Lepisosteus oculatus: one gene and its partners. The protein of the gene in region 1 purifies or fractionates together with the protein of each later gene. This does not show direct contact. Links are inferred from orthologs where the notes say so. Each region holds a gene or a part of one and is shown in the gene's direction. Other genes may lie near its edges. The genes, in order: mphosph6, c1d, zinc finger C3H1 domain-containing protein and exosc9.

What was found.
Region 2: the proteins of mphosph6 (region 1) and c1d purify together in Homo sapiens (co-immunoprecipitation; 3 studies listed by BioGRID and IntAct, counting the BioPlex papers as one, with this or other methods). This does not show direct contact. The link is inferred for Lepisosteus oculatus from reciprocal best matches to the Homo sapiens genes MPHOSPH6 and C1D.
Region 3: the proteins of mphosph6 (region 1) and zinc finger C3H1 domain-containing protein purify together in Homo sapiens (affinity purification with mass spectrometry; 3 studies listed by BioGRID and IntAct, with this or other methods). This does not show direct contact. The link is inferred for Lepisosteus oculatus from reciprocal best matches to the Homo sapiens genes MPHOSPH6 and ZFC3H1.
Region 4: the proteins of mphosph6 (region 1) and exosc9 purify together in Homo sapiens (affinity purification with mass spectrometry; 5 studies listed by BioGRID and IntAct, with this or other methods). This does not show direct contact. The link is inferred for Lepisosteus oculatus from reciprocal best matches to the Homo sapiens genes MPHOSPH6 and EXOSC9.

What each region holds. Positions count from the first base shown.
Region 1 is NC_090715.1:14,997,277-15,005,205, forward strand, and holds the start of mphosph6 (M-phase phosphoprotein 6), read left to right. Parts: upstream 1-4,916; 5' UTR 4,917-5,064; coding exon 5,065-5,115; intron 5,116-7,797; coding exon 7,798-7,910; intron 7,911-7,929. UniProt on the Homo sapiens protein: RNA-binding protein that associates with the RNA exosome complex. Involved in the 3'-processing of the 7S pre-RNA to the mature 5.8S rRNA and play a role in recruiting the RNA exosome complex to pre-rRNA; this function may include C1D.
Region 2 is NC_090712.1:8,566,157-8,573,338, forward strand, and holds the start of c1d (nuclear nucleic acid-binding protein C1D), read left to right. Parts: upstream 1-4,161; 5' UTR 4,162-4,248; coding exon 4,249-4,251; intron 4,252-4,760; coding exon 4,761-4,904; intron 4,905-5,264; coding exon 5,265-5,331; intron 5,332-5,411; coding exon 5,412-5,467; intron 5,468-7,182. Other genes in the region: uncharacterized protein, read right to left, coding at 199-279, 1,212-1,297, 2,015-2,181, 2,546-2,676, 2,966-3,132, 3,227-3,434, 3,728-3,886. UniProt on the Homo sapiens protein: Plays a role in the recruitment of the RNA exosome complex to pre-rRNA to mediate the 3'-5' end processing of the 5.8S rRNA; this function may include MPHOSPH6.
Region 3 is NC_090702.1:22,680,169-22,687,116, forward strand, and holds the start of zinc finger C3H1 domain-containing protein, read left to right. Parts: upstream 1-3,941; 5' UTR 3,942-4,108; coding exon 4,109-4,643; intron 4,644-5,723; coding exon 5,724-6,161; intron 6,162-6,529; coding exon 6,530-6,606; intron 6,607-6,948. UniProt on the Homo sapiens protein: Subunit of the trimeric poly(A) tail exosome targeting (PAXT) complex, a complex that directs a subset of long and polyadenylated poly(A) RNAs for exosomal degradation. The RNA exosome is fundamental for the degradation of RNA in eukaryotic nuclei.
Region 4 is NC_090696.1:10,753,232-10,761,192, reverse strand, and holds the start of exosc9 (exosome complex component RRP45), read left to right. Parts: upstream 1-4,949; 5' UTR 4,950-5,023; coding exon 5,024-5,089; intron 5,090-6,445; coding exon 6,446-6,540; intron 6,541-7,530; coding exon 7,531-7,650; intron 7,651-7,961. UniProt on the Homo sapiens protein: Non-catalytic component of the RNA exosome complex which has 3'->5' exoribonuclease activity and participates in a multitude of cellular RNA processing and degradation events.

The sequences.
Region 1 (7,929 bases):
TTAGTATTTTGAATTCTCAGCTCCACAGGCAATCGGTGCAATTAACCGAAAACAGGCAATAAATGCATTTTAGTTTTCCTTTAAAAACCGCACAGCTACATCCTGCAACTTAACTTAACAAACCACCAGTAAGAAACACATGGCAATAACCAAGCCAGCAAAAGACAACAGCATTCATTCGCTTTCTTGCATCAGACCTGGAGGAGAGACATCTCTCACCAAGAGCCCTACATGCCTAGGAGCAAATGGGAGGGTGCAGGGGTCTCTCTGTCACTGACAGGCTCAAACCCACCACCAGACAAGTCCATCTGCATGCGGGAAAACACCTCTTCCAGTTGAGCTACTCGGTAAACAGCCAAGGGCTGTCACATTGGCAAAGATACTAAGGAGATACAACTGACAAAACTTCAGTCTGGCTAGAGTTTAGAAGTAAAAGTGCATCTATTTTTCACATGATCTAAGCCATAGGACAAAACAGACTGTGCTTGATTAATGTCGGGTTTCATCAGCATAGAAATAACAGCTGCTGCCACATCTACGGTGAATCTGACCCAGTGGAGGTTCATTCAAGTGTGACACTAGCAAGTAATGTAACAAGACATATTTTACAAATGTCTGACACATAAACAATTAAGCTTTCTATTCAGTAACTCAATGTTGCACTTAACTCTGATCACAGGACTCTAAATTAAACTCTAAAAAACACTCATAAAACAGCTTTTAGCTCCTAAGGGCATGGTATGACAGTAATATTAAAATGTAAGACATAAATCATAATTTCTTCTTGCATGCTGTCAACAATTTTTATGGAGAACCCAAGTGTCTCACCAAGCGAAGGCACTTGCTCCACTTAATGGCTAATGTCTGTATTGCATGCATCCCAAGTTCAAGCCTGAGTCATGCTGTATCACCAGCAGGAGGTGGGACACATCCGGCAAGGGGCAGGTTGTTCTGGGATCTGTACACTGGCGGCACATTGGTTAGAATTTGTGCCTCGAAGCGCTGGGGCTTTGTGTTCAGTTTCAGACCTGAGGTGCCGTCTGTACAGTTTGTTCTCCCTGTGTTTAATAATAATAATAATAAGAAGAAGAAGAAGAAGAATAATAAACTTTATTTTATATAGCGCCTTTAAAGGTTGCTTCTCAAAGCGCTTTACAGGATGACAATAACAATAAATAAAAAGACTACAACAATAAATAAGAAGATTTCACAAGATAGGACACAATTATAATTACAACAATACAACAATAACAATAGAGGAGGCTGTGGAAGGTGGTATTAAGAGCAGAGGGGTGAAGAATGGAACCAGTTAAGTAAAGGCTTTCCTGAAGAAGAAGGTTTTAAGTCTGGATTTGAAGGAGTTTAGAGAAGGTGACTCTCTGATATCCTTGGGCAAAGAGTTCCAGAGCTTGGGGGCATAGCAGGAGAAGGCCCTGTCACCCATACAATGTAGACGGGCTTGGGGGACAGTAAGGAGGGCAGAATTTGAAGAGCGGAGGTTGCGAGGTGGGGAGTAGGGCGATAAAAGTTCAGACAGGTATTGAGGTGCCAAGCCATGTAAAGCCTTATAGGTGAGCATGAGGATTTTAAAGTCTATGCGGAATTTGACCGGAAGCCAGTGCAAGGACTCCAGGAAAGGAGTAATGTGAACACTTGCACTAGACCTGGTCAGGATTCTGGCTGCTGAATTTTGGACATACTGCAGCTTGTTCAGAGTAGATTTAGATACAGCTCCAGCTCTCCCGCAACTCTGAACTAGAAGAAGCGGTTAGAAAATGGACGGATCTCTCAACTTTCCAGCAAACAGCGGCGACTTAGTCTCCCCACGAGCCTTATTCATTGTAATGCACAGCCCACGAGCCACTGTGTGGAAATAAAATTAGCCGTTTTTAATCAGTTGGGTTAAAAAAAGTAACTGATCCCAAAATAACTGATTCGAAATTATGTCCAGCCCTGACATCCACTGAGTGAAACACCAATTAAAGCATATTTTCCTAGTTATCACATCAAGTATCCCATTCCTCATCTTTCATTCATATTTGCCTACAGACTCAGTACAAACGATACACAATTTTGCATAAACTGCACAAGAGGTGGCGTCGATTGAGTTCTCACTAGCAATTGATATTTACATAATGCAAAACACTTTTATGTCTATGGTTTCTCGTGATATTTCTTCTCAAATGACTATTAATTGACATTTGCAATAAAGAAATACTCAAACTGCACTATGCGGTATTTAAAGTGATTTTCACACTGGCCCTAAGGCCGTTTCTGCTTACTTTTACTTTTTTCTCCTGTTTGATCAACAGTAATGAAAGACAAGTGGGCAGTGGAGCACAATGATATTTGTTCCTAATAATCAGTTTTATTCTGCTGTATAGCAACACCCCGGTAATCACTTGCACCAGTGGCAGAAGTTTAGCCATTAAACACGCAGTTCGTGTAGCTGAATACCCAATTCATCATCACCGGACAACCACATTTCTACGTGGGCACCGATATTTTTAAAATTAGGAAATAACAGTCGCTTCACGTGTGAAGAAAAAAACGTGTTAAACTGTGTTTTTCCTCTTTAAAGAAGTACAAGAAGTAATTAAAAGCGAAACAGTCTTTTCGATGTTTCAGGTTAAATTCAGTTTAGTCATTTTTCAAGAAAAAAACGCGTGACAATGCAGTGTCTGAACAGCAGCTCCTTTATTAACAAAGTGTGAGCTACGCCGTTTTCTTCGTTTTTGCTTGTGTTTACTTCGTGGCATCATAATCTAGCTGAAAAACTGTTTTAAAAAATCCATCAAAACCACAAAACACTGAACAACATCATGCGAAAAGAGAAATGGTCTGTTTTGTCAAACACGATTTCCTGCTCGGCGTGTACTAAACTCAGATCTCTGAAGTGCATGCCGCCGAAGTTTATTCATCTTCGCTGCTATGACAGGTAAGAAAATTAGAACTAGTCAAAAACAAATTTCATTGTAAGTGGTTCTGCTTCGCGGGCTTTCGGAAAATAACGCACGCACACCTGATTGTATCAAGAACAGCAAAGTTCTGCTCAATCACAGGGATTGCCGGGCAAGCGCAGGAATTCATAAAACACACACCAAACAGGGGAGCATATTAAATTTGTTCCCGGAGCATAACATGAATAAACCATTTGCTATGTATATCCTCTCATGCGTAGCTGCTGCTCTCAATAAAATACAAGCTGCGCTTGTGTTCTGCGGAGAAAAGCTCAAATGGTCTCACAGGTGTTCTTGAAGGAATTTAAAAGTCATACAGTTAATTTAACCTTTGAGAGAAAACAAAAATATTGTATCCACGGGCTATAGGAACATCGCTAATATAGACAGACCAACCAGACTCAGACTCAGATGCTCGCAAAAGGAAACGAATATACACAACTTTTTGTGCTATTCTGAAATGATCCTCATGACACAGTATGAAGTGTGGAGGGACTAATCTACGCTAATAAAGGATATGTAGAAAGTGATGTTAAAATTAATATTATATTCGGAATATTTAATGAAAATACATGCATTGCCCTATAAGTATTGGTGAGTTATAGTCTTCTCCCCAAGGAAAAGGGTGTCAATGTTTCAAGTGTTGAGCGTTATTCAATAACCATTTACCTGGAAACCAGGCAAACCATTCCACCGGGTTAAAAATCCAATTTCAACTCACCCCCACAAGACTCTTCTACGATGTTTCCTAGAGTTGACTGTAAAAGAAGACGGTATTTCAAGCAGTAGACCAACGCTTAGTCGTTCTCGATCTTCAATCGCTTTAGTTTGGCGAGAGTTCAGCGCTCGCAGTCCCGCCGGCCCAACGTGAAACTGCACCTGAAAAAAAAAAATCGCTCCTGGTTTGGAATGACTTAATCTCTCGATTTTTCTTGCTCGATCTTCTGTCAGAAACGGTTCAGTCCTGGTAAGGAGAGCGCACCCCAGCGATCCCTACGTGGCAGAAACAAGGCGCAAAGTGAGGGTACCCCCTGGACAGATGTACACACTCGCGTGTCTCTGGCGAGGAAACTCTGGCCAAGTAGGAAAGCCAGCTGCCATATCACCCTGCAACTCCCCACTGGAGCACAGCAGGTGAGGGCCTGGTCAGTACCTGGATGGGAGACCTGGGAAAACTAAGGTTGTTTCTGGAAGAGGTGTTAGTGGGGCCAGCAGGGGGCGCTCACCCTGCAGTCTTTGTGGGTCCTAATACCCAGGATAGTGATGGGGGCACTGTGCTGTAAAAAGGCGTAAAACCGAGGTCCTGACTCTCGGTGGTCATTAAAAATCCCAGGGCGTTTCTCGTCCTGGCTACATGTCCCTCTGGCCTTTAACAGTCATGGCCTCCTAATAATCCCCATCTCTAAACTGGCTCCATCACTCTGCTCTCCTCCCACCGAGACCTGGTGTGTGGGGAGTGTACTGGTGCACTATGGCTCCCATTGCATCATCCAGGTGGGGGCTGCACACTGGTGGGGGTGGAGGAGGAGAGTCCCCGTTACCTATAAATCGCTTTGAGTGGAGTGTCTAAAAAACGCTTTATAATTGTAAGGAAGTATTATCATCGGGGAAGAACATGTAAACTCCACACAGAAGGAGCCCCAGCCCGGACTCAAATCCGAATGCACAGCATCAGTTCTTAACCGTGATTATATAGATCCATTTACGTGTATAATAAATATATACATTTATCATGTGATATTTATAAAACTGGTCTAAACCGGGCACTCGGATTAGATTTCGCCCATCTTGATGCGACCCTGTTTTGTAATAGGCGACAATTGCAAATGTATGGTTCAACACTTTGTCTATGGTCCGCAACAGCGGCGGAGTGGAGACACGTGTAACTGTGTGTTCCGTAGAGGTAACTCTGAATCGGTGATCCATTGGCCTGGGCTTGGGGGGGGGACTGCATCGGCAGATGGATTGATACTGTCTCGCTCGGTGTACTGCAGCGTGTTCCTCTCCGCCGTCTGGAGGTTTAGCATTAGTCTGAGTAACGTAGGGTTGATATTTTTAGAAACATTAGATTTTTTTTTTTACTTTGCCGAACTCGGTGGTTGAAATGGCAAGCGATGGTACCGCGAAGCTGTCCAAGAACCTCTTACGAATGAAGGTAATGTGTTGTAGTGTGGCGTCTCAGGACTCCTAATCGATTTGGTATCGGGCCTTTTTTTCCCCCGTGTGTTAAATGTTGAAAATTGCATGCTCCTTTCCCAAGAGATTCTTGTGTATAAACTGTAAAATCATGCACGAGTTTATAGTAAGATATTAAGGACGTGTGTGTCATGAAAACCTGGATACTTATTAAGAGTACTCCATTAATATCCGACAAAGTGAGTGCTTTTGAAACACGTTGAGAGGGCTATGAACGTAACTTTTAGCCCATGCGTTTGATAAAAGTGCACTCGATTTTCATAATGTAGTAGTTTATAACCAGAAGTACAACAGTCAAGTAGATTTCTTTCATTTGTTTAAGTATCTGCTATTATCAGTAATGTAAATATCCTGTCTGTCTCTGTATTTAATCCGTGTGTGACGGTCCCATTATGAAGCCTGTTATAGATCAGTAGAATGTCCTGCATTCCTCGGGTTTCATTTCCTAATCTGCCTAGAGAATCCACGGAAATGTTAACTACTGCCGCTAAGGAGTTTTTTTTTTTTCCTCTTTTATAAGTTGCTTCTTTTTGGTGACATTTGCAAATGTACATATCGGGGTATGTCAGAAGACCTCGGGTGTTCCTCTGCTGCTGATCCTAGTGGAGAGGCTGAACCCACAGCAGCTTGGCGAGTTTCTCTGCCAGCTACTGTGCGCGACTGCAAAAATGTACTGTAACCAGTTTTCTCAGTTCATCGAATACCCTGATGTGCAAAAGGAACAGAAAAGACCGATAAAAAGATGTAATACTGTTATACGCTGTGAAAGAAACTGTATTATCTTCTGTTTCATAGTAGTATAATGTATCTCTACGCACAGCATGACAATTCTGCCTCCGTGAGAAAGCACGGAGATGAAGGAGCGGTTCTTAGACGCACAGTGAGCTCCTTTTTAACCAAAGGGCTGTGGGAGTGTGCAGCTACACAGCTAAGCTGACGAGGCTGATACCCTGGCTTCTGTCAGGAATGAGCTGGATGAGAGCCTACGATCAATTGAGTACCGAGCTGGACACATGGGGCCTGATGGCCTCCTCTCATCCGTTACTGTTCTTAGTTATACATAGCGTGGAGTACAACATATCAAAAAGGGTGAGCTTATATATTTTAAAGAGATAATGTGAAAGTTTTCAAATGACTTCATTTTGAAGCTTTCTGTAGAAGGAAGATCAAATAACCCACCAGGTTTACAGATAATCGCACTGAAAGCCAGTGGCTTGATTTTTTGTCGTCTCTGTTCAGTCCTTGGAACATTTGTCCTTGAGCAGTCTAAGAACTCTGTGTTCCTGTCTCTCCTGCCTGTTTTCTTTTTTTTTTCCGTTCTGCACTGAATTTGTCATCACGGTGGGGCCCTGTAAATAGGGGGGGGGATAAAGCCCTTTCAAAAATTTTCCCGACACGCCGCTTCTCAAGAATTGTCTCGGGGCCTCGTGCATCATTCGGTCCGCTCGCTGCACCTCATTAACGCGCGAGAGATCTGGCACGGCGCTTCTTTTCGTTTGGGAGAGCCGAGCTGTGCAGGTTGTCCCGGGTTTGAATTACTTTAAGTATTCCTGTGAAATGGTAGAGTGCCCAGTAATTGCCTCCTGCTGTGTATCCCAAGCCTAAGAGAAGCTTGAGATGTTAAGACTGCTGGAGACATGTGAAGAATATTGGGGTTGTCAGGGAAGAGCACGCTTCGCAGATCCTGCCGTTAATCACCAAAGCACATGAAAGACAAAAGTATCAACAGCTCAATATGGTCTGCCAGTTTTCAAGATAGTGGGTTTACAGGTGCAGGTTTCTTTTTTTTCCCCCTCTTTTCTGGTGATCGTGTTTGCTGAGCTCGCAGATCTCCCTGGTATTTTCCCAATGAGTTCTGCTTTTGTGTCCTCTCCTCCCACACTTGGAGGGTTTATCCGACTCATTTCTCAGACATCGGCCGTTTCTGTCCAGAAATCAACATTGTGAAGAGCTTTAGATGCGGCGTGTTTTAAACACGACTCGGGGCTCAAAGCACACGATGCGCAATGTGCTGCTTCAGTAAAGAGATGTGGACAAAAATGTTTTCTTTTTCTGATAAAGAAAAAAATCTTGGCCTTTGCTAGGTTCTTGGCTTTGTGGGAAAACACAATCACACAGGGAGGGAACTCTCTGGCTCACTTTTATTAAATAGTATGTCTGGCCTTAACCCCTGGAGCTCAGCCTCTTGAGTGATGGCAGTTCAGCTGTGCGAACAGGGCAGGATTACAGCTGGTCAATATAGGATCCTGCAGATCTGTGCTGTGCTTTTTCTATAGTCCTCACTACCCCATGCTCACTCGAGCAGCAGGACTTTGTGCAATATGACTACTTAACTGGGAGAAGGAAGTTCATGTTTAGTGCCAACCATTTAATATTCAGTATTTACCGGTTTTTGTGTGTGACATTCCCTGACCACCCTCTTCAGCCTACTCAATGATGAATTGTTCTTTTTATACCACATGTGTGTTCTCTTCGGCCTACAAGTATTCCCAAGCCTCTCATGGGTTGTTGCCAGCAGAACATTCAGCTGAACAGCTGGGTATGAGCTGGTTTCCCAGCCCCTGTCTTGTGACTCTGTGAGCAATGGCAGGCCTGGAGCTGTGGTTTGTTTGACTGAAGCACGATGCTCGTCTTTCCCCAGTTCATGCAACGCGGCCTGGACGCAGAAGTCAAGAAGCAGCTGGAGGAGGAAGAAAAGAGGATAATCAGCGATGAACACTGGTACCTCGATTTGCCAGAGCTCAAGGCCAAGGAGTAAGTCCAGCTTTTCACC
Region 2 (7,182 bases), on another chromosome or scaffold:
TTAATTTTAAATTATAATTCTGTTTTTTAAAGCTGTTTTATAACTACTTTAGTACTACTAATATGTTTTATTTAAAAAAAACACTACAGACATGGAATCTTTACTGTTCTTATTAAATTTAAATCAATAAAGAATAAATTATTTACACTTTTTGTAAAATAATTGTGATCTACAGTAAGCATGTGATCTTTTGTTTACCTGCAGAGTATGTTTTGTCTCAATTTGAAGACTATCTGAAGAAGCAGATTGTGCTTTGTACCATTCAGAGTCCGTAACATCCTGAAAATAAAAGGCTTCATGTTAAGTTGTGTATTCAAATAAAAGAATTGAAATTCTTACACAGAATGGAAAGTTAGTCTGAAACATGGGTCCTGTGTACCTAGTCAATTTATGCTACTACTATTTTTTTTCTTTATGAAAATTAGCAGTTTAACTTAAAAAGTATAAAACAGAAACCACAAACATGGTCACATTTCTTACATTTCTTTGGCAGAGATCTGTTATATTAAAGATTGACTTACAAAATATCTATTTCAGTAATCATCTTCTCATAGATAACTATCTACCAGCGCTGATGCCAAACAAGGACATTTCAAAATGTCACAGGAACATTAAACAATATTTTTCAGCATTAGTGAGAGACTGATTTTTTAGAATGTGACCCACAAAAGAGTATCTTAGCAACGCTGGAGCCAACAGCACTTGATCAACAAAGTTGGTAGTAATTGCATTTTAGGTACACTTAACTGACTTGAACCAAAGTTATTCTATTTTTACATACAGTACAGGTAAAGAATTCTTAAAATTGTTTCTAAGCATGAAAGCCCAATGTTTAAATACTAATGTTTTTTTATGCTTACATTAGTAATAGTAACAAAATATTTTAAATATTAAATAAATATTTTACATTTTACAGTTTTTTCACCCTGAAAATATTAAAAATTAACATTTTGTGAATACAAGTTCAGAAAAGGCAGTTCTTACAAGGCAGTTCTTCTTTTGACACTACTACAAAACACAACTTGGCTTTTTACTGGATATAAATATATGTAAAATGAAATTATACAAACCCAATTCCATTTAAAATGATAGATATACTGTACTACAGATATTGATCATTGGGCTTTACATAATAGATAAAAGTTTAAGAAAAAATTGAAAACAGGGACTTTGGCAGAAAAATACTAAGTTCCTCTGAATACGATCCTGACCTTTACATCCAGCTCAGATGGAGGCTTATGTGGGCAGTGTGTTACATGTTCGCCAAGCTCTGATAATTTTAGCACAATCTCACAACCTTAAAATGGAAAAAGACAAAACATTCTTATTTAAATGAAAACTATTAGTCATAAACACTATTTTAGGTAGACAACTTGCACTCTTCATTAACTTTGTCTACTTTAAAGGATTATTCTAATGGTCTAATCAAAATAACCTCCACTCATAATTTAGCCTGCAAAGTTCAGCTGCTGCCATGTTAACTATTAAGCCTTCACCTTTAACACGAAATAGGAAAAATAAGGAACATTTTAAATAAATATCCAGATATGTCTGCGACCTAAGGTTTATTAGCTTCTGCTGTTTGGTAATGGACTTGCTTCAATGAAGCAGTTCTTGCATATTATTTTTAAGCATCTTTGTCTCAGGAAAAACTACAGGAATGCCATTCCTCAATGTCCAATAATCTATTTAAGGTTAAAAAAAAAACTGAACACTGGCTAACATTACCTGGCAAAGTGATAGTTAATACATATTTTTAAAAAATCTAATTACATGGAAGATCCTACTCCGTTGGGCCCCTGAGCAAGGCCCTTAGCCCCAGCTGCTCCAGGGGTGCCGTATAAATGTCAGACCCTGCGCTCTGACCCCCAGCTTCTCTCCCTGTCTGTGTGTCTCATGGAGAGCAAGTTGGGGTATGCGAAAAGACAAATTCCTCATACAAGAAATTGTATATGGCCAATAAAGTGAGCTTATCCTATCTTATTCAGGTATCATTGAGTGTGAGTCTATATACCTCGATAAGCAAAGCAACACTTCACAGAGGCAGCTGACATCCTCCTGTCCACTTCGTACTCCGTCACCTTCCAGCTCTCCCCTAGAGGACTTTCATCTAGTGGGTCCACCTTTGACCGCCGGGTGAGGACATCGATGTATGGAGCTGAAAATGCGTGCTTTGGATCGCTGCAGAAAAGACAGCAAAAGGAAATAAAATAACAGCGCTACAGCGCTACAGCACGCTCTTTATTGAGCCCAACTCTACAGTATTTCTAAATTGTCTGGCTGCTTTTTAATATCTTTGTCATTCAGATTTATACTTGCATGGAGCATTTTCTACTTTCACAAAGGTACATACTACACGTGCAACATCATGGGGTTGATATGCCTTTTTGTTCTATGACTCAAGTATATAAATAACACATGTATGTTATGAAAACTACTTTAAGGTGATATGCACTGTAATGATTCCATCGCAAGTGTCAAGTGCATTAAAAAAGTCAACATCAATACAGCCGGTATTATATCTGTCAAAGTTATATCCTCTCACCTGCCACTAATTGAGACAGGTCTGTAAAATGCTGTTAAGGAGACAGGACACTCATATTCCATCTGGTCTTTCACAGTATTGAAAGTGATAACATACGGAATCTGTTCTCGAGTAATTAGAATTGTGTAAATCTAGAAGAGAAAGACAAGAAACCATATGGTTCTTTAAGTTGTATATTTGGACATTATGCAATGTACATTACTGTATCATGTTGGGGTTTAAGTTGCATATTTGGACATTGTACACAACTGGCTAATTTGACATGCTTCAATTAGCAAGACTGGGATAACATATTCATTTTTACCTCTTGTTGTTTAAGAACTCTTAACCTTGTTACTATTTACAATGCATGTAAACAGTGTCGTTTTCCATGCATACTTTACTTCCCCCTGCTTTGAAAATGTTGCAGTGTGCTCTTACACAGGATCTGGTGCCATCTGCTGAAGAAACTTTGACTTCCAGCAGGCTGTCCCCCACTGTTAGCGGTACAGAGTCAGAGGGATCTGCTTCATTCACAGAAACCTTCATGTTGCTGTCTGGTACTTTGGGCTGGACAGTTAAAGCATTTAGGTTGAAAGGAACAGTACCTAAACGGGTAGATGAAATGGGTATTTAGTAACTCGAAACAGATATTCAAATAGAAATAAATACCTGTTAATACTGTAGCTATATTGTACTCACACGAGTATTCGAAGATGGTGGTAGCAAATGCTGGCTGGAGCTGTAAACCTTCAGGAAATTCGAGGCCACTCAGCTCTGCAGCGCTGGCAGACAGTTTCGTTACCTCAACAGTGTATATTTTAGCTGTTCCGTCCTCAGCGATAACTTCGATGTCAACTTTGTTCACTCCATCTTTCAGTTCAATCACCATGGACCCACTACCACACAGCTGACAAAAATCATGCAAATATGATCGCCGACAGTTCAGTCTATTGTTTTCCCACTGATTAATAATTAATTAATTGTTGATGCAATGCAGTTTCCTTACGAATTTCTGTAAAACCGATACTTATTGCTATTTAAAAATATGTAATACATTTATGTATTGTGTTTTTAAAGCAAAGCTCGACGTTGTGGGTGTAAGTGCATACTTCACATACGACAATATGTAATTTTACAGTACGTTGCATTCCACGGAAAACATCAATATCACTCAAAAATCATTGCACTTATTAGACTTACTATTTTGTATGATGCGCCGCTGTCACTTGTTAGTAGATCCAACGTTATTTTGCTAATGTTGCTGGGAACAATCACTTTATAGCTTGTTAAAAGTGGTGAGAAAGTGGGGTGTAACATTCCCGCAGAAACTGTAAGTTTTTCCAAATCACAGTTATCCATTTTATTTCACTATGACAATCCATACACTAATGTAAAGGTTCTAGTCCTCTTTAACTTTGGTTTTGGATTTCTGTGACGCTGTAACCATAGGAACAGATATAGAATGCGAAATAATTTATTTTTATTGACGTTCGCGCATTGATATTTTATATATACATATCTATATACAACGTTTTCGGTTACATTAATCTTACCCAGTTTGGAGATTTATAGCTAGACTAAATTAAAAATTATTCTGGTTGAGATCAATAGCAAACTACGATTCCAATAATGCATCAGTAATGACACAGTTCCGGAAATTTCACCCGGAAGTTTAATTATTGAGAAACGTGTAGCAGAGGAGGTGAAAAAAGAGGAGAGGTATGGTTAGTAATTTTAATTTTATAGTGTTTTGATGTCATCATTTAGTTTTACATAGCAAAAACTGTTCAGAACCGCGTAAAATATATTGACCATCGGTTAACAATATAATATCACACATTTCATTCCAACAAGAAAAAGTGCTTTTCTGTTTTATTATATCGTTGTCTTTTTGCTACAAATAAACATTCAATTTTAGTTACTATAGTATAAACTTAAGTCAACATCAGGTGTCCTCTTAAGTAAAGGTGTGTTAAGAAGCTAAATCCTTGGATACTTATTTTCTGGGATTCGTTTGTGTAACGATCCTAAAATAAGAAATAGGAATAAATAACAAAATTAGGAAATAATGAAAATAAAATTAAAGCACTAATTTTGTCATGTAAACTATTGTAGATTAGATTTTACTTAAACACCATTTCTAGAGACACCAAACGGCAAGAAGCTGTTTTATAGCAACGCATGGACCGTATGGAGCAGCATATTTTCTACTGAAAACATTTCTGGATTTCAGAATATGGCAGATGAAGATGTTGCAGCAGAGGACTACCCCACAGAGATTGAAGAGTACCTGACAGCCTTTGAGACCTCTGTGAGCTCAGTGAATAACATGATAAAGACAATGATGTCAATACCCAGGAGTGAGCTGCTTCAACAAGTAAGTTAAAAGTAAAAAAACATTTATTAAATATTATAGTTTTCGTACAATAATGTATTAGTCTGATTTGGTTTCTTATAAGTAATTTATAAACTTGGCTTCTGGGTTATAACAAAAAGAATGTAAAGTTAATCCAAATACAGGTAAAAAAATTCTATTAGTCCCACCATATCCAATCATGTAGGCAAATAAGCAGCATATCAAGTGCACTTGCTTTTATTTCTTGTTGTTTTATTCTTGGCTCAAATTCCCTTCTGCTGATACTTAATGTTCATTTTATTGTGCCATTCATTTTCATTTTCCTAATGGCTTCATGCTGTTTCTGTATAAGAAGACTAATGTGTTCTGTTTTTGTCGTAGCTGGACCCCCTTGAGCAAGCAAAACTGGATTTAGTTTCTGCCTATTCCCTGAATTCATTGTTTTGGAGTAAGTCATTTCTGTCTGCCTTTTTATAATGACTGCTGTTTCATTTACAGGTAGTGACCTCATCTCTTTTTCTGTTTCAGTATACTTGGTGACACAAGGAATAAACCCAAAAGAACATGCAGTTAAACAAGAATTGGTAAGTATTTTGTTACGTTTTTTATTTTTTGTTGTTTCATTGTAAATGACGGGAATTTATGGATTTTGATAGTGGTTCAAAGATTGGACTTCACTTGGAAAAATGTCAGTTTGTGTTCTTTTTTTAATATGTTTATTTTTCTCATTTGAGACGACTCATTTACTAATATAAACTAAAAGCTTTTTTGGCACACTGTGATGTGTTGAATAGGGAGATGTGACAGTTTTATGTGCTGTCCTGTGATGTGGTATAGCTTTTGGAAGTCATAGGATACATCTTGAAATGCAGTTGCTCTTGTAAATTCCCAAAGCCTTTGTGCTTCAATTACACAGTATCTGTTACAGAACAGGGCTTGAACTGTGTATGTACTGTATATATGGGTGAGTATCTTTGCCCAGCAATCTTCACAGAATACAGTATAGACTGGAAGGTTCTGTGTGTGGAACCAAAACAGTGGGCATCAAAGTGCAAGAACCTGAGATTTGATCTATTAAACACAAATAATGTACATTAATGTGTAATTTCTAGTAAGTTGGTATAACTTAAAATTACCTAAAGGGTAACTTTTCAGTGATATGCCAGACCTTTTCAAATCCCTTAGCATGACAAATTTGAGAAATGCTCTGCCTTTCTGTTTATATATTTAGCTGAGTTTTGCTTCTGGTGTGTATACATATTTTGTTGTTCATGGTTTACCAGGTAAAATAGCCAATCAGTGTTTATTGTTTTATACAATGAGCAGACTGTAGTGTCTCATGAACACAAATGTCAATTCTCTGGGAAACGTGAGTGTATGTTAAACTGGGACATAGCCAAAAACTACCTAAAAAACGTTTGATTCACTTGTGACCTACTTTTCTTTAATTTGCAATGTCAGAACAATACTTATTCCTCCATATCACATAATTGAGTTAGGAACAAGATATTTAAACTCAGTTAATGCTGTAATGTTTAGATTCTACGATTATCTTGATCTGGGCTTGTAGAACAACATATTAATTTCAGTTTTTTTAATAATTCCCTGCCAACCGATTAAGACCAAATAACACAGTGTCACTGAACACAATATTCCGAGAAATAATTACTGAAGCATGACTTAATCATTAACGAAACTAAATGGAAGAGAAGATATGAAATATGTTTGGTAGTTTTTCTCAAAACTCCTTATATTTACTGTTTACATTTTGAGAGCTTAGTCTGTTCCCTACAGTTGTCTTTTGCAGAGTAAAAAAAACTACATTTGGAAAGTAGAATCAATATAGTCCCCTGAAATAAGCAGCAAAATAAATTCTTATTTTATTTTGTAATATTACAAAATTATATAATTATTTACTGTATCACTGTTGATTTAAGATTCCAAGGTTTTTTTTTCCTCTGAGCTCTGACTTGTGAATCAGTTGGAAAAGAACAAATTGTTCCCACATCAGCTTAATGTTACATTGATCAAATGATCGTACCAGAGGAAAAATGTGTGCCAGTTTACAATCTCCTGACCAGATCAGTCTAAAATTTTAAACGTTGGGGATTTTTACTGGCAGCAGCCATTTGAACCATCTTGAAAGGATCCACGTTGTACATAATTAGACTGTTAACTACTGGGTTTATTATGGTACAGTGTATGAAATACTAATGCTGTTACTGAATTATTGCTGTACTGTTACAGCCCTTAATTTAGATTTAGTGTATATATCAGAGAGCATTCACATGATGATCAA
Region 3 (6,948 bases), on another chromosome or scaffold:
AAAATGCACACTAATCAGGAAAGACGTTTTTAACTGAGGTATCTTTTACCCAGGAAACTCAAGTTCCCTAAAAACACAGAATAGCACACTCTAATAAGGTTCAAATACTTAGTCTAAATTGAAAAACCTTGGAGTGATATTCTAATCTGGATTAACATTCGACCCACATCTGTGGCATATTGTCAAAACATCTTTTTTTCACCTCAGAAATATCACTCAACTAGGCCCTATGCTGTCACTAATTGTGGCTGAAAAGCTGATCAACACATTTGTGTTCTCTCTGCTGTAATGCTCTACTCACTGGGGTATCTAAATCTACTTTGAACAAACTGCAGTATGTCCAAAATTCAGCAGCCAGAATCCTGACCAGGTCTAGTGCAAGTGTTCACATTACTCCTGTCCTGGGAGTCCTTGCACTGGCTTCCGGTCAAATTCTGTGTTGACTTTAAAATCCTCATGCTCACTTATAAGGCTCTGCATGGCTTGGCACCTCAATAATTGTCTGAACTATTATCGCCCTACTCCCCACCTCGCAACTTTCGCTCTTCAAATTCTGGTCTCCTTTCTGTCCCCCAAGCCCGTCTACATTGTATGGGTGACAGGGCCCAAGCTCTGGAACTCTCTGCCTAAGGATATCCGAGAGTCACCTTCTCTAAACTCATTATAATCCAGACTTAAAACCTTCTTCTTTAGAAAAGCCTTTACTTAACTGTTCCATTCTTCTGCTTTTCTTAGTACTACCATCCTCAGTCTCTTCTGTATATTGTAATTGTTTTCTTTATTGTATTTTTTTCATTTATTGTTGTTGACATTCTGTAAAGTGCTTTGAGAAGCCACCTTTAAAGGTGCTATATAAAATAAAGTTTATTATTCTTATAACTTCCCTAGGTATACTAAGGTAAACTTTACCATTGTTTCTGCCCAAGGGACCTCCCCCAGACATCAGCAAACATCCTCTTTGCTTTATAATTAGAAGTATTTTCTCTTCTCAGTGTCACAAACGTTATCTAAAATCTAAGAGACACTTCTAAGTCACCTAGCTGGAACATTAAGGTATTCATTTGCACCGAACAATGTACAAATGACAAACAATGTACAAACAATGGTTTTGAATAGTTATGCAGTCACAACTTTTCCATTTGTCTTTCATATTAATTATTGACTTCTTTCTTTTTGTGACTGATGTGTAGAGGTATATATAACAAATGACTGTAAGCCACAAAGCAGCAAAATGTCAAAACTATGCAAGTGTCTGAATACTCTTGCATGGCACTGTAAATTCAAATTCATTCTTTCAAATCCATCATCATTAAATTCCCTATATTGCTCTTGCTGGGTTTCACAGAACATAAAAAAGATTGAAAAATAAGAGGACAGACAGCCTATTTACAGTATATTTTTTATTCTACCAAATACATTGTTGGAGAATCTCATATATCCATTTCTTGAAAAAAGCAGAAGCAAGATAACAGTTTTGACAACAAGCAGCCTTGCTCAAGGCTTTCAAAGCATTATTACCAGTGAAAGTAATGGTGACTGCTTCTCATAAACTGGGACTAGTAAGCTTGACAAGAGTATTGGGAACATAGAAAGGCAATGTGCAGGCAACATTTAGTGGTTTAGAATTATTTAGAATCTTTGGAAAGACTTGAAAACGTCTGTACAGAAGCAATACCCAAGAAAGCTGAGAGACCTTTAGCAAATCTGCCAAGAAGAGTGGGCATAAATTCCATGAAGCTGGTGTACAAAGGTACACAAAGGTACTGTACACAGACTTACTCAAAATGACATAACATAACATGAGGTGACATAACATAACATGGAGGTGGTGGCTGAGAGGAGAATGCTGACCAAGCTCATAGCCATCATGAACACCTCTCATCCGCTTCATAGGACTGTTACTGGGCAGGGGAGTACATTTAGCAATAGACTGCTCCAGCTACGGTGTTCAAGGGAACATTTCCGCAGGTCTTTCCTCCTGGCGGCTGTCAGGGTGTATAACGCTGCCCTAGGCTAGGACTGTTAGCCCTTCATTTGCTCCTCTATGGACAGCATGTTTACTCCATTGTACTTTTTGGACAATCAGTCTGTATAAACCTATGCACATTTTGCACATATTTTATTGTTTTTACAATGACTATGATCAGCACATTTTGCACACACCTATGTATTTATTTATTTTTATTTATCTTGTTTGTCTTTTGTTTTATAACTATTCTGATGTCTGTTTTGCTTGTCTTGGGCTGGACTGCTGTAACACATCAATTTCCCTACGGGATTAATAAAGTATTATCTATCTATCTATAACAACAACATCACGTTATTAGCCCTATACAATTTCTTGCATTAGGAATTCATCTTTTCACATACCCCAGCTTGCTTTCCATGAGAGGCAGACAGGAAGAGAGAAGTTTGGGCTCAGAGCACAGGGTCAGCCATTGTACAGCAACCCTGGAGCAGTTGGGGTTAAGGGCCTTGCTCAGGGGCCCAATGGAGTAGGATTTCCCCACCAGCTGTGGGATTTGAACCAGCAACCTTCCAGCCACAGGCGCAGATCCTTAGCCACAGATCAAACTGATTAAACATGAAACTGTATTTGTTGCCAACGGTGCTTCCAACAGATACTGAGTTCACAGGTCCGAATACTTATGCAGTCAACATATTTCAGTTTTCTTTTCTCTTTAGTGTTTGCTGACATTTATTGTGTTGTATCCTACCCTTAGAGATATTCAGTCTGAGGCTTCAGGTCTTAAATGACATATTAGGTTTAAAAAAAATGTGTATTGTTTTGCGATTTTAGAAAAAGGACACCATAGGATGGGTCTGAATACATTCGGAAGGTACTGTAACGTATAATGTTCAGGAACATGATACATTTCCCCCAAGCCCATCTATGATGGCGTTTTTAAAGAACATGCTTCATGTTAATAATTTTCAAAATACCTGTCTCATAAACTGTTTTTAGTGTGAATTTATCTAAAGATCTGGAGGATATTTTTCTTAATACTTTTGTATTATGCCCCACAAAGGGGGCAATTCATGTGATAGTTACAGAGCACCTAAAGTAAATCCATGCTGACCCAAAGATAAAATGCACATTCCACGCAGAATTCACCCCATCCAGAATTGAACCAAGGACCTAAGAACTATGAAACTATAGCAACCACCCACACTGGAATGGAACTGAATTAAATATATAACATTTCCATTCTAATATTATTTTTCTGCCATAGTATTTTGTGTTATAATGTAATTCTTTTTTAAAATTCTTGGAAATCTCTAAATGATTTAAATAATTACATGTTTACTAATTTCATCGTTAGTAAACGACACGCAAAGAAGTAAATAATTGGAAAAATAAAAGCATCTACACCTCTAAGATTCATTAAGTGTAAATAACTTTGAACAATACGGTCAAACGTCGCTGCGCGGATTTGCACTGTATATTTTACTAAAAATGTCGACTTTCGCAGTGTCCCGTTATATTCTTCAGGGTAAATTTTTGGGACAGTAAATGAGCTCTCAACTCATTCAAGTCAGGTCTTTCAGGTTATTTAGGAATGCTCAAATATTTTACTTCATGTGGTTAAATGAGCAGCTTCTCCTATACCCGGGAAAATTTAACATGCAAGATTTATGGAAACAAGAATCCATAAGGTTAAAATGTAATCACGGAAAACAGTTAACATTGCATCAATGCTACACATGACGTTCGGGAATTTACAATTGCTTCGTGTACACGAACGAATTTAAGGCATCAGTTCAGCACTTTTATTGAGGAACACGAAAAACCAAAAATACCAAAGTAAGGTTACATGCCACAAGTAAATCGCAACTTTCTGCGTCTGTCATTGCATGCTGGAAACACACAGCCTATCAACATGCAAACGTCTAACACGCTGGCAGACGCAGCTTCTCCTACGACATTTGCGCACACTCGGTTTTCCTTGCGAGTCTCGCGATAGAAGAGAGCGACGTGAGGCCGGATCTCGGACCAGGAAAGAAGATAGGGACTGCTGGGGAATTGCACGTCTGTAATTGCTGATTTCACAACCTGGCCCAGGAGCATTCCTGCCTTCCAGAGCAGTTACATCAGTAGGGAATAGCGATGGAACTGAGCTCGAGCGTTCGGTCTCCGAGGGAAGAAGGCGAGCTGGAGGACGGGGAGATCAGCGACGATGACACCGATGAAAGGCAATTCGTGCGCCGTGACAAGAGGCCTAGCAGCAGCTGTAACAGCAGCGCAGGGCGTTTCGCTCGGAAGCCCAAACCCGGACCGCGGACATTACCGCCGCCTCCCATGGGGGGACCCGGCCTCGACTTCCGAATGAAAATGCCGTTCAACCGGGGACCCCATCCTCATCCCCCCAACTTAACTGGCCACAGGCAGCAAAGTGGAGCAGGCGTCCCCGACCGATCGCTGTCAGCCCAGCATTGCGACTCGGGTCCCAGATCGTCTTTCTGGGAGCGCAGCCACACCGCGCTGGGCAGGCTGAGGTACCGGAGGCCAAACGATGGCCGCGGAGACTGGGGCAGAGGGGGTTGGGGTGAGGGGGTTGGGGGCAGAGGGACTGGAAGGCCGCCCCCATGTCGACTTGGATTCGCCGGGGCACCTATCAGGAAGGAGTCCCCTCCAAGAAAGCGTATCCTTGCCCGTCCTTCGTTGCCACTGTACGAGTCCGACTTCAAAACCCGTTGATTTTTATACTTTCCTGGACAGTGAATCGTACAGCGTGTTACAATTCGTATCGCACATGTTGAAGCGATGACCGGCTTCTGTAGATTCGCTGCCCACACTCGAAATGTTAATGTGACCATTTTGGGTAACTGTGGCTATAAATATTCCTTTTCCTAAGACGAATAAGAGCTGTGTCCCGGTCGTGTTTCTAGGCGTTACCCCGACCACATTTGCAAAAATGTATCTTTTGTTCTTATTATACATACGGTATATGTTAGCTCTGCTACAAGGCTTTAAACAGACAGCTCAAGAACAATCGTCGAGACCGGAGGTCGACGTCAGCACCTAACAGGCGCAGAATCCTCTTTCGTTTGTACAGTTGACTTCCGCTGTTGGCACAGTCAGACGACTTCAGGAATAACGCAACCCCCTTGAGTTGTACGGTATAGGATAGCGGACACACAAACCCAAACTAGTGCGAGGAAGAATATTTGGTTGAGGTTTTTTTGAAAAGCACATTACGTTTGTACCCATGCACGTAGCTGGGCATTTTCCTGGAGCAAATTGGTCCAATTCCTCACTGCTCATGTGTTCAACAGACGTTCTTTCATCTTTCTGTAAAGAAAAGTAAAGCAATCACAGATGAATGGTTCATAATCAAAACACTAACAGTTGACACCTTTAAGCAAAGACTATTATTTGTGAACACCTTTTCTTCTTGTGGATTAACTGTCCACTTATAAGAACAAAGATGTCATTTGGCCCATCAAGCTGGTAGTTATTAATTGATTAATTTCATCCCATTGTTTTCTCTAAACCAAGGTTATCGGCTTCAATAACATGCCAGGGTAGCTTGTTCCATGTTCCCATAACTGTAAAACAAGTTTTAAATGCATGTTGTTTCCACTTGTGCTCACTCAATTTTAAATAATACAAATGGTTAGTTAGTAATACATTTGCTATGTAAAACTGTTATATAATGCAAACCTAGCATGTTTTTGATTCGGTTTTACAGATATTTATCTTCCTTCACTTCTTTACTCAGCAAAATTGTTTGGGAGACCTCAGGTGAGGAAACCCATTCATAACACTGCCAAAACCGAAAATGGTATTGAAGAAAGCTTTGAGGATTTGCTTTTGAAATATAAGCAAATTCAACATGAGCTGGAATGTATTAGGAAGGAGGAGAGGATGGCGCTGAGCTCCAAAGATCCTTCGCCTCAGAAAGAGGTAGAAGGAGCCCCCAGTGTTGATCAGGCTGTTTCAGGCACGGTCAGTATTCAGAAGGAAGCTGCTATAAAAGAGTCTCCACCTCCGGAGAAGCCCGAAATCAAAGTTTTTCAGGCTTTTAACCTGAAACCTTTAAGGCAGAAGCTTCTGACCCCTATGGAAAGAGATGAGATGAACAAGAAAAACACGAAGGAAGCAGAAAAGTCAGAGAACGCTGAAATAAGCCCCCTTGAGCCCAGTGACACAATAAAAGGTAAAGAAAATTCCACCTTAACATAATTGTACATCACATTCACCATTTTATTTGACCTCGCTAAAATATAAACACCATAGGGCTTTTCCCACTTACTAGAGATGTGTGTGTGATATGCCACTTTTCTCATTTCCTTTTTTATTTCTACTACATTACTCTAATGGTTCTCTTTGTAATGCCTTTTCATCCTTACAGATGTTAATAATTACCCTAATAAGTCAGTCTTTTGCTACAATTCCGTTTAATTTGTGGATTGCCTCTGTCTTGAACTTGTAATGTCTGCCTTGAAAGTGTGCGGATTAGTCATTTGTTTTTACTTTGACCAAGTCCAATGGGAGAAGTGTTAAGCTTGTTTCTCTTTCTTAAAGATAAGGAAGATGAGGAGGAATTGGATTTAAACAATTCTTATCAAAGCAGCAAAGAATCAGATGACCTGCCTTATACTGTAAGTAACACAGAATGACATTCACAACGATGTCCGACTCGGTTTAGTCTTAGCAGGCATTTCTCCCACAGATGTTTTGCGTACACCACAAAGCTGTATTAATCATACAGCATTTGAGTGTCTTGGACAAGATTTTCCTGCATTGTTCTTCATGATGTGATGAAATCATCGCCAAGATTGATTTGAAGACAGGTTTTTTCAGATTACACCTTGTATTAATTAATTCAAAAACATTTCCAATAGGACTCAGTAAATGACTGAATTAATTACTGCACCAGTGGAGAAACGTTCTAAGATTTACTCGCATTATGTAGTAAATGGCAGTGTGGCTGTTAGTACTGC
Region 4 (7,961 bases), on another chromosome or scaffold:
GGCAACATAGGATGAGATTTTTATTAGAAATTTAATGGGAAAAGTTTTTTTTCTTTCACAATCCTGCATTAAAACAGTACAGGACATCATCATAAGTAAATGTACAAATAAACCAAACCAGACAAGAAAGATGTTTACATGATACAAGTAATGAAAAGCCAAACAGCTAGCATTTTTGTGACTCATTCCAAATATTTATGACTTTTATTAACACAATGTTTACTAAATTAACTGAAAATACAAATGGCATCAAAAATAAATTTGACTTTTTGTTTAGGGTAAACCCTGTACTGTTTTTGCAGACTTTGGAAAATTCTGTTTTCTGTACAATGTTGGCCACCACATTACAAAAAATATATTGCTGCTCTGGAACCAGAGAAAAATAAACAGATATATTTCGGACCTTAAAGGAATGCCCTACACTGACAGGCTAACATTTCCCAATCTTTTAAGTCTTGAATGTGTAACATACATCCTGCATCATCAGTGATGTCTCCTGGTATCATTGGGTGTTTCGGGTCTTTCAACATCAGACACCCTCCCCCCAGGCAACCTAACAGAGGCCGATCAGACCCTGGCCTGCATCCACGTAGCACCCATGGGTTCCTTGTCCTGATCCACAACCATCGTGATGCTTTTTCCATGGCTTCAGTGGCAGCTTAGATAGCCTTCTCCCTCTGACCACCAGTGATGCCCAGGTAGTGGTAGGTCCTATTCAGCGTCTTTGGAGTCTACTTCAATGGGCGTGTATCCTGCCCTCCAGCTCTTTGAGTGGCACTGCTCCACCAGGTCTTTGTATCTCTAGCAAGAATACTACATTGGCAGCCTGATTCGATTCTTCCTAATCCTCAAAGGCTCTGACAGACTCAGTCCTTTGGATTCTTGAACCAACTGGCTGCTAATTACCAAATGGGATAGATGGCCTTATTTTGTAACCTTTCAATTTGTCATTTTGGATTCTTTTACCACTTACCAACAAACCTTGTCTGAAACACAGAAACAATACAAATACCGACAGCCATCTTTGTGCTGAATCCAGTAAATAACCATATGATCATTTCAGTTTTGAGCCATGGTACTCATGAGGACACCACATTGTTGGTAATCATTAATTCATATGCAGCTGCCAGATGAAGCCCGGAAATTACAGCTATAAAACCAATTTCAATAGTTTTTACATGGTGCTATCAATATTTATGGCTCCCTCTGCAGGGATCTCATGACCATTATTACATATTGTTTTCCCCAAGGATTCAACAGCAAGCAAAACCTTTGTTGTGCAACGGAGGGTACTAATTATGAAAGCCCAATATGTGTTGTACTCAATCTGGAAGTCTCCCATGGGTGAATTAAATTATAACAGTGCTCAAGGTCAAGGTCCTCACTGTGCTACTGTTAACAGAAGAGATGACCTTCCTTAACGCCTGTTTGAACACAATCTTTCAAACTGGGGGGAAATGGAGGCAGCTGGAAAAAAGTGCTAGGTCTGTGCCAAGTGAATGTTTGCAGTCTCTTTTTTAATTATTCAAAGCCTTTGGCACACCATTTAAATGACAAGAATCCTGCTCAGAGGAAACCAAAATAAACTCACTGCTCCTTTTTGCATGTAAAAACAAGTTTACCTTCATAGTGCTGCCTGCTTAGCAGTAGATGATATTTCTCTTTTTTCTTCTTAATAAATGTCTCATAAAGATCCAGGTGTATGAAAATGGATTTCCTTCAAAGGCAAGGAATAGTTGGTAAGACCATCCTCACACTGGGATTAAGGTGCTTGTACAGAAGAAGTAATAACTAAACAGTGTATAAACAAACATCCATTCATTTTCTAATCTGTTTATCCAATTCTGGGTCTTCGGAGAGGTGACTCCTATCCCACCAGGCACAGGGCAGGATACACACTGGTGGGACGCTAGTTTATTGCAGGACACACACAGACACACACACTCACACCAGAGTCAATTTTCCCAGAAGCCTATTAACCCAGTGTGTCTTTGGACTACTGAATGGGAGCACTTGGTGGAAGCCCATGCAAACACAGGCAGAACAGACAAACTCCACACAGACAGCACTCTAGGAATTGAACCCAGAGCCCCAGCAATGCTAACCACTGCAGCACTATGCTGGTCTAAACAAACATGTCCTTCAGATCTTTCCACTCCAGAGCTGAGAAAAACATGTACTTTTTTCAAATGCCATTTAAAAACGTAGTTACCCAAAGTCTGATTAAATGCTTCAGATTGCTTTGCTTGCACCTCACACACAGTGACATTTCTGTATTTCCCATCACACATGGCTGAACCTGCCCAGAAGATTTTCTTCTTCCACACTGAAGCAACTCAGTTTTTTCACTTGATAGTGATCATCACTGGCGATTATGGGACACATACACTGTGTGCCAGGCTTTATAATTCCTCTGACCGCGTATATCAATTACTTTAAATTGGATTTTCCTTAAAATTTAAGCCTAAACATTTTTAATTCAGTTAATTTGAAATGATGACTTTCAGTGAGGTAATGTGGCAGCTATCCTAAAATACTTTGAGTTAAATTAACTACCAAAACTCATAAAGACTGCAGTGGCATGATATTCTTTTCTAATCAAGAGATCACTATGTCAGACAGCACACTACAACTCCTACAATAGGACTGTTTTAATATTAGATATATAGAAACAGATAATGTTTTCTATTGATCAAAGTGAAGTATACAATATTTAAAAAACTGGTCAAAACACTGACAATCCAAGACTCTACTCTGTATTTCATTACATTTTGTCTGACTGATAACACTGGTCTGTAAAGCAGGAGGCTACAGCAAACACCAAATAATAACAATAACAGCATTTTCTTATTACTTTGTGCATTCACATGTATGTAACTGTAAAGCTAAACTGTAAAGTTCATTTCTGAACGGATACATCATCCTTTAAAAAATGATTTGTTTTATTATGTGCTCAATCATTTCTTTCACACAAATGTGAGGCTCCATGGCTGAAACATTGTGTCACACCTGAAGAAGGCTCCATGGCCAAAATGTTGTGTTTCTTTTCTTCTTTTTAGCATGGAATAAACCTTTACTTCCTCCTTTACAGCCCACGCATGCTGACACAGGTACTGTCATACTTGAGTTATGGAGGCAGTCAGAATGCTCTCTATAATGGCTCTGTAAAACTGTATTAGAATTAGTTGAGAGATACCCAAGATTTCAGCTGGTGCAAAAAGTACATTCTCTGCTCTGCTTCTTTCTGATACTGGTGATATTCATGTCCCATTTAAGGGTATTTAGAGTTCATAATTCCCAAAAAGTTCACCACAGACACCCACGTCATTGATTACCAGGAATTACCAGGGAGAGAGGCTTTCGAGAATGTTTCTAGAAATCAACCATTTCTACTCTTTTAAGGGTATTAAGCTCTGGGTACTTGCTACAGCACCATGATACCTACTAATCCAGACCTCCTGTACATAGCCTCATCATCATTAGTGATGAGACCTACAAGGGTGATGTCATCTGCAAACTTATTTAGTTTGACAGAAGAGTCGCTGGAAATGCACTTGCTGGTGTACAACAAATAGAGCAATGGGGAAGGCACACGTCCTTGAGGACCCCCTGTATTCACATACCTACACAGCCCTTGCCTTCTATTCAGGGAGAAAGATGAAGATCCACTGGAAAGGGGAACATTCAACTATTGCAATTTATTGTCATTCTGGAATGATAGTAATAAATGCAGAACTAAAAGCCTCAAAAAGAATGCTTGCATACACACCTGAGAGTTCTAGATGATGCAAAATGTAGTGAAGACCCATGGTAGCAGCATCATCACTGACCTGTGGGCCCTAAATGCAAACTGTAGAGGATCAAGATGTGAATCTGTAACAGTTTTGAGACAGCAAAGTATCATGCGTTTGAAAGTCTTCATTATGACAGACGTAAGAGCAACTGGTCTGTAGTCATTTAGACAAGTTATTTTGTCCTTCTTTAGTACAGGAACATAATGGAGGATTTAGAGCAGTTTGATAATTAGTGGAGCAAATCCAAAAACACGTACCTCAGGTTTGGCTGGTTATTTTAAATTTCCAAGTTTCATGAGCTTTTCAGAAAGTTATCGTGTGTCTCGAAGTTTAAGGACACAAAATGCACTAATATAAGGACAACATAATGATTCAGCCCAAAAACATTTTGACAGGTAGACAAAACGGCTGACACACAGAAGACGGATGACAATTGAAATTATTTTCTGCAGCTGTTTTAATGTCCCTTTCAAACATCTCAGGTACTACCTCACGTTAAATTTTATAAAAGCTCTGGGAAAATTGAACTACGCATTTGGTATTAAGTGTACGGACAACTGTATACGATTACAACTTCCTACTTCTGAATTCTAAAATAATAAATAAAAAATCGAACTGCATTTGTGGTTTAAACAGACGCTGTTTTTTTTAAAACGTTTTAATGGTAGTAGATGAAGAATTTAGTATTTAAAATTCCGTGACTGTGTATCATACGGATCACTGCATTGGCAGCGGAAGACTGCTGGCTATTTGACGCCACACTGTGCTTTAAGCAAACAATGACATTCAGTGAAACCAGACTACATTTACGGAGGGAGGTTACATCTCATAGATGTCAGACAAAACTATTTCTATTAAAATAGGTGACTGAATTTATTCGAGGCCCTCCTTGACTTTGTACTAGCGATCTCCCGCAGCTACCTTTTATTAAAGGCACGTTTTTAACGGAAAATGTGCACGCTGAAATGGCAACGTGACGCCAAGAAAGCAGCTGTCAAATAAGTCAAAGTTGAGAACAGTGGCGTAAAATCAAAGATATATAAGGTACAAAGAAATCTATACAGTATTTAATATAGTATAGTGTCTTACAACCGAAACGCATTTCACATTCACGTGACTTCACATTGACGTCGCATCATGTGTGTCGTCATCCGTCTGCGCCTAGTGCATGTCGTGAGGGGAAACAGAGAGTCCATGTGTAGTAGTTACAGGTTCTGCAGAAATTCAGAATGAGGGAAACGCCGCTGTCCAATTGTGAACGACAGTTCCTCCTGACAGCCATAAAAGAGAAAAAGGTATGATTATAATTTAGAGCTTTAGTTAACTTGAACAAATCTGCCAAGAAGAATGGGCAAGATTGTTGTGCATAGTTAAAGACTTAACCAGAGACGTGTGACAGTAATTTCAGCTAAATGTGTTTTTTAGGAAATATTGAGATCAGGGTTTTGAATACTCACGCAATCAACATATTTCATTTTTTTCTCTTAAGTAACTTACCCTTAGGAGTCTTCACTTTGTGCATTCGATTTCTTAAAAAAGTGCATAGTTTTGTGATTTCCCAAAGTGAGACACCCTAGGACGCGTCGAAATACTTTTAAACAAGTAAGCAGACCATTAAAGTCATCGGTTAGCTCTGGAGATTTAGAGCTCAGCGGGAATGAAACCCGGCAGAGGTACAGGGTTGTGACCTATTGATATTGTTGTTAGTTTTCGAAGGTGTTAGTTACTGGGACATTTCTTAGGCCTGCATTAATATTGAGGTGGTAGTGGTTAAATCTCTGGATTCCTGACAGGTTTGCGTGCCGCGGCAGTACTCTTGAACATGACGATTATATCCAGAGTGCACCAGCAGATCCAGCTGTATAAATAGGTCCCAAAATGTGAATGTAAAAAGAGGTAATCTCTTGTAAATCAGCAAAAAATTATATCTGCAAAAAAACTACATAATCTGAAATATTTGTTAATATCTGAAATTATTTTTGTGCATAATTTATTATTTATATAATTTTGCATTTTGTTGCTTATTAAATACATTAGCTCCTGAGTCAATCTTCAGTATGATGTTCAGTTCATTTCTAAGGCTCTTCAGTAAATATGACACATTCATTTGTAGATAGAAACTAATTTAAAAAACCTCGTCATGTCCACTTTGTAACCATACTGTTCCTTCTAGATTCCTAATTGTGAACATTTTAGATTCATTTGGTGATTTTAAATGTTCTGTTAAAAAATACACTTTCATGCTGTTTTTCTTCTTATTGTTACTCTCTTAATATACCTGACATCTGAATATATCTGATAAAACACTGTAAAATCAAGGGGAAAAAAGAACATGCTTATTGTTACAAGTTTAATTGATAAACAATATATATGGAAATAATCTCTTTGTTTACAACACTACCATTCAATATATAAAGATATGAAACTGAGAAAGGCGTACAAGAATAAAATAATATTTGTTGGCTCTGTAAAACAAAATTGAAAATGATTTTTTATTTAGTCCATTATTCTAGTTTTTGAGATAATGTGAGATGTATTTTAACATGAGCCTGTGTTTAGTTCTAACGGTGTGGTATATATGATCTATATAACTCAATAAAGTTTTGGAACTTTGAAATAAATATCACATTTTTTTTTTTTTTTTGTTTCAGCGCCTAGATGGAAGACAAACGTATGATTACAGAAATATCAAGATCACCTTTGGTACACAGTATGGATGTTGCATTGTTGACCTTGGAAAAACAAGGTAAACGTTTGTCTAATCCACAATTAATGAGAGATTAATTAAGAGTTTTAATGAAAGATAAGAAATCTTGTTGAATGCTTAATTCTCAGCAAGTCAAATTAAATGTGATCTCAGGCACATTGGTGTTTAAATTTGAACATTTATGCCTGCATTGCTCCATTCCCTGCTATCTGCACTTTTTTCACCAATTCTGTGTTAATAATTAATACGAATGTATTTCTGACAGTTTGTCTTCTTTTTTAAGGAGAAGAGAGTAAAGTACATGTATTCATAGTTTGATTTGTGTTTGAATGGATTTTGTAAGTATTGTGTAAATGAACCAGAACATCTCTTTATGATGCTGAGTGTGAAAAGTACAGCAGCAGTTCTCAAACTCTCTTGGAAAACTATTCACCTGAATTGTAAGGATAGCACACATTGTAGGATAGCAGCAGACATTTTATTGCTGTTAAAAGGAGCTGTTTCCATACCTTTGCTACTTCAGTAGCAGTTACAAATGTGAAACTTTAAGTCTTTAGGTGGTTTTATAATGAGAGGAATTTGTTTGTTTCACAGGACAAAGTTTAAAGGGTGAAATTTTGGTTATTTCAGCCAAAGGTCTAGTTCTACATTTACTTTTGTCCTGTAGTTGTTTTTTGTTGATATCATTGCTGAAAAATCTATCTCTCACAGATCAGGTATGTACAATGAAAGTGTAATGTCCCACATCAATTTCCCTACGGGATTCATAAAGTATTATCTATCTAATGTTCTTTGGTATATCTTGTTATCTTGTGATTACCTTGTTAATTTAACACAGCACTTAATTGCTTGTGAAAAATACTTTATCACTTACTTTTTGTGAAGCTCTCCTGTCCAACTGTGATTTTTACCTGTAGTAATCCAGTTAGGAATTTACTGAAGAATTTTTGCATCCTTTTGAGTGAAAAGACAAATTCATAATGAAAGACACTGTATATGGCTAATAAAGTGATCTTATCTTATTTTCAGAGTGTTGGCTCAAGTTTCCTGTGAACTTGTCGCTCCGAAAGAAAATCGCCCAACAGAAGGAATTCTCTTTTTCAACCTGGAGCTATCACAGATGGCTTCCCCTGCTTTTGAACCTAGCAGGTATAATTCCCAGCTACTCTTCAAATATAATTTTAATAAGGAATTAAATTCAGACAAATAACAAAGGATGCCAAATTTAAACAAAACAGTGTGGCTTTTTTAAAGAAAAAAGTTAGGAAACCCATGTTATTTTGAAACTCAGTAAAATAGTGAGTGTCACTGTCTTATCTGTGTGCCTTTCATTTTGGATGTACTCTGTTGTTACTGTATGCTGTATATTATTCTTGTCTTAGACCTACAATACTACACATAATTAATCAACACACATCCCACATATCAAACTAGTTAGAGCTGCAATGCATTAAAAAGAA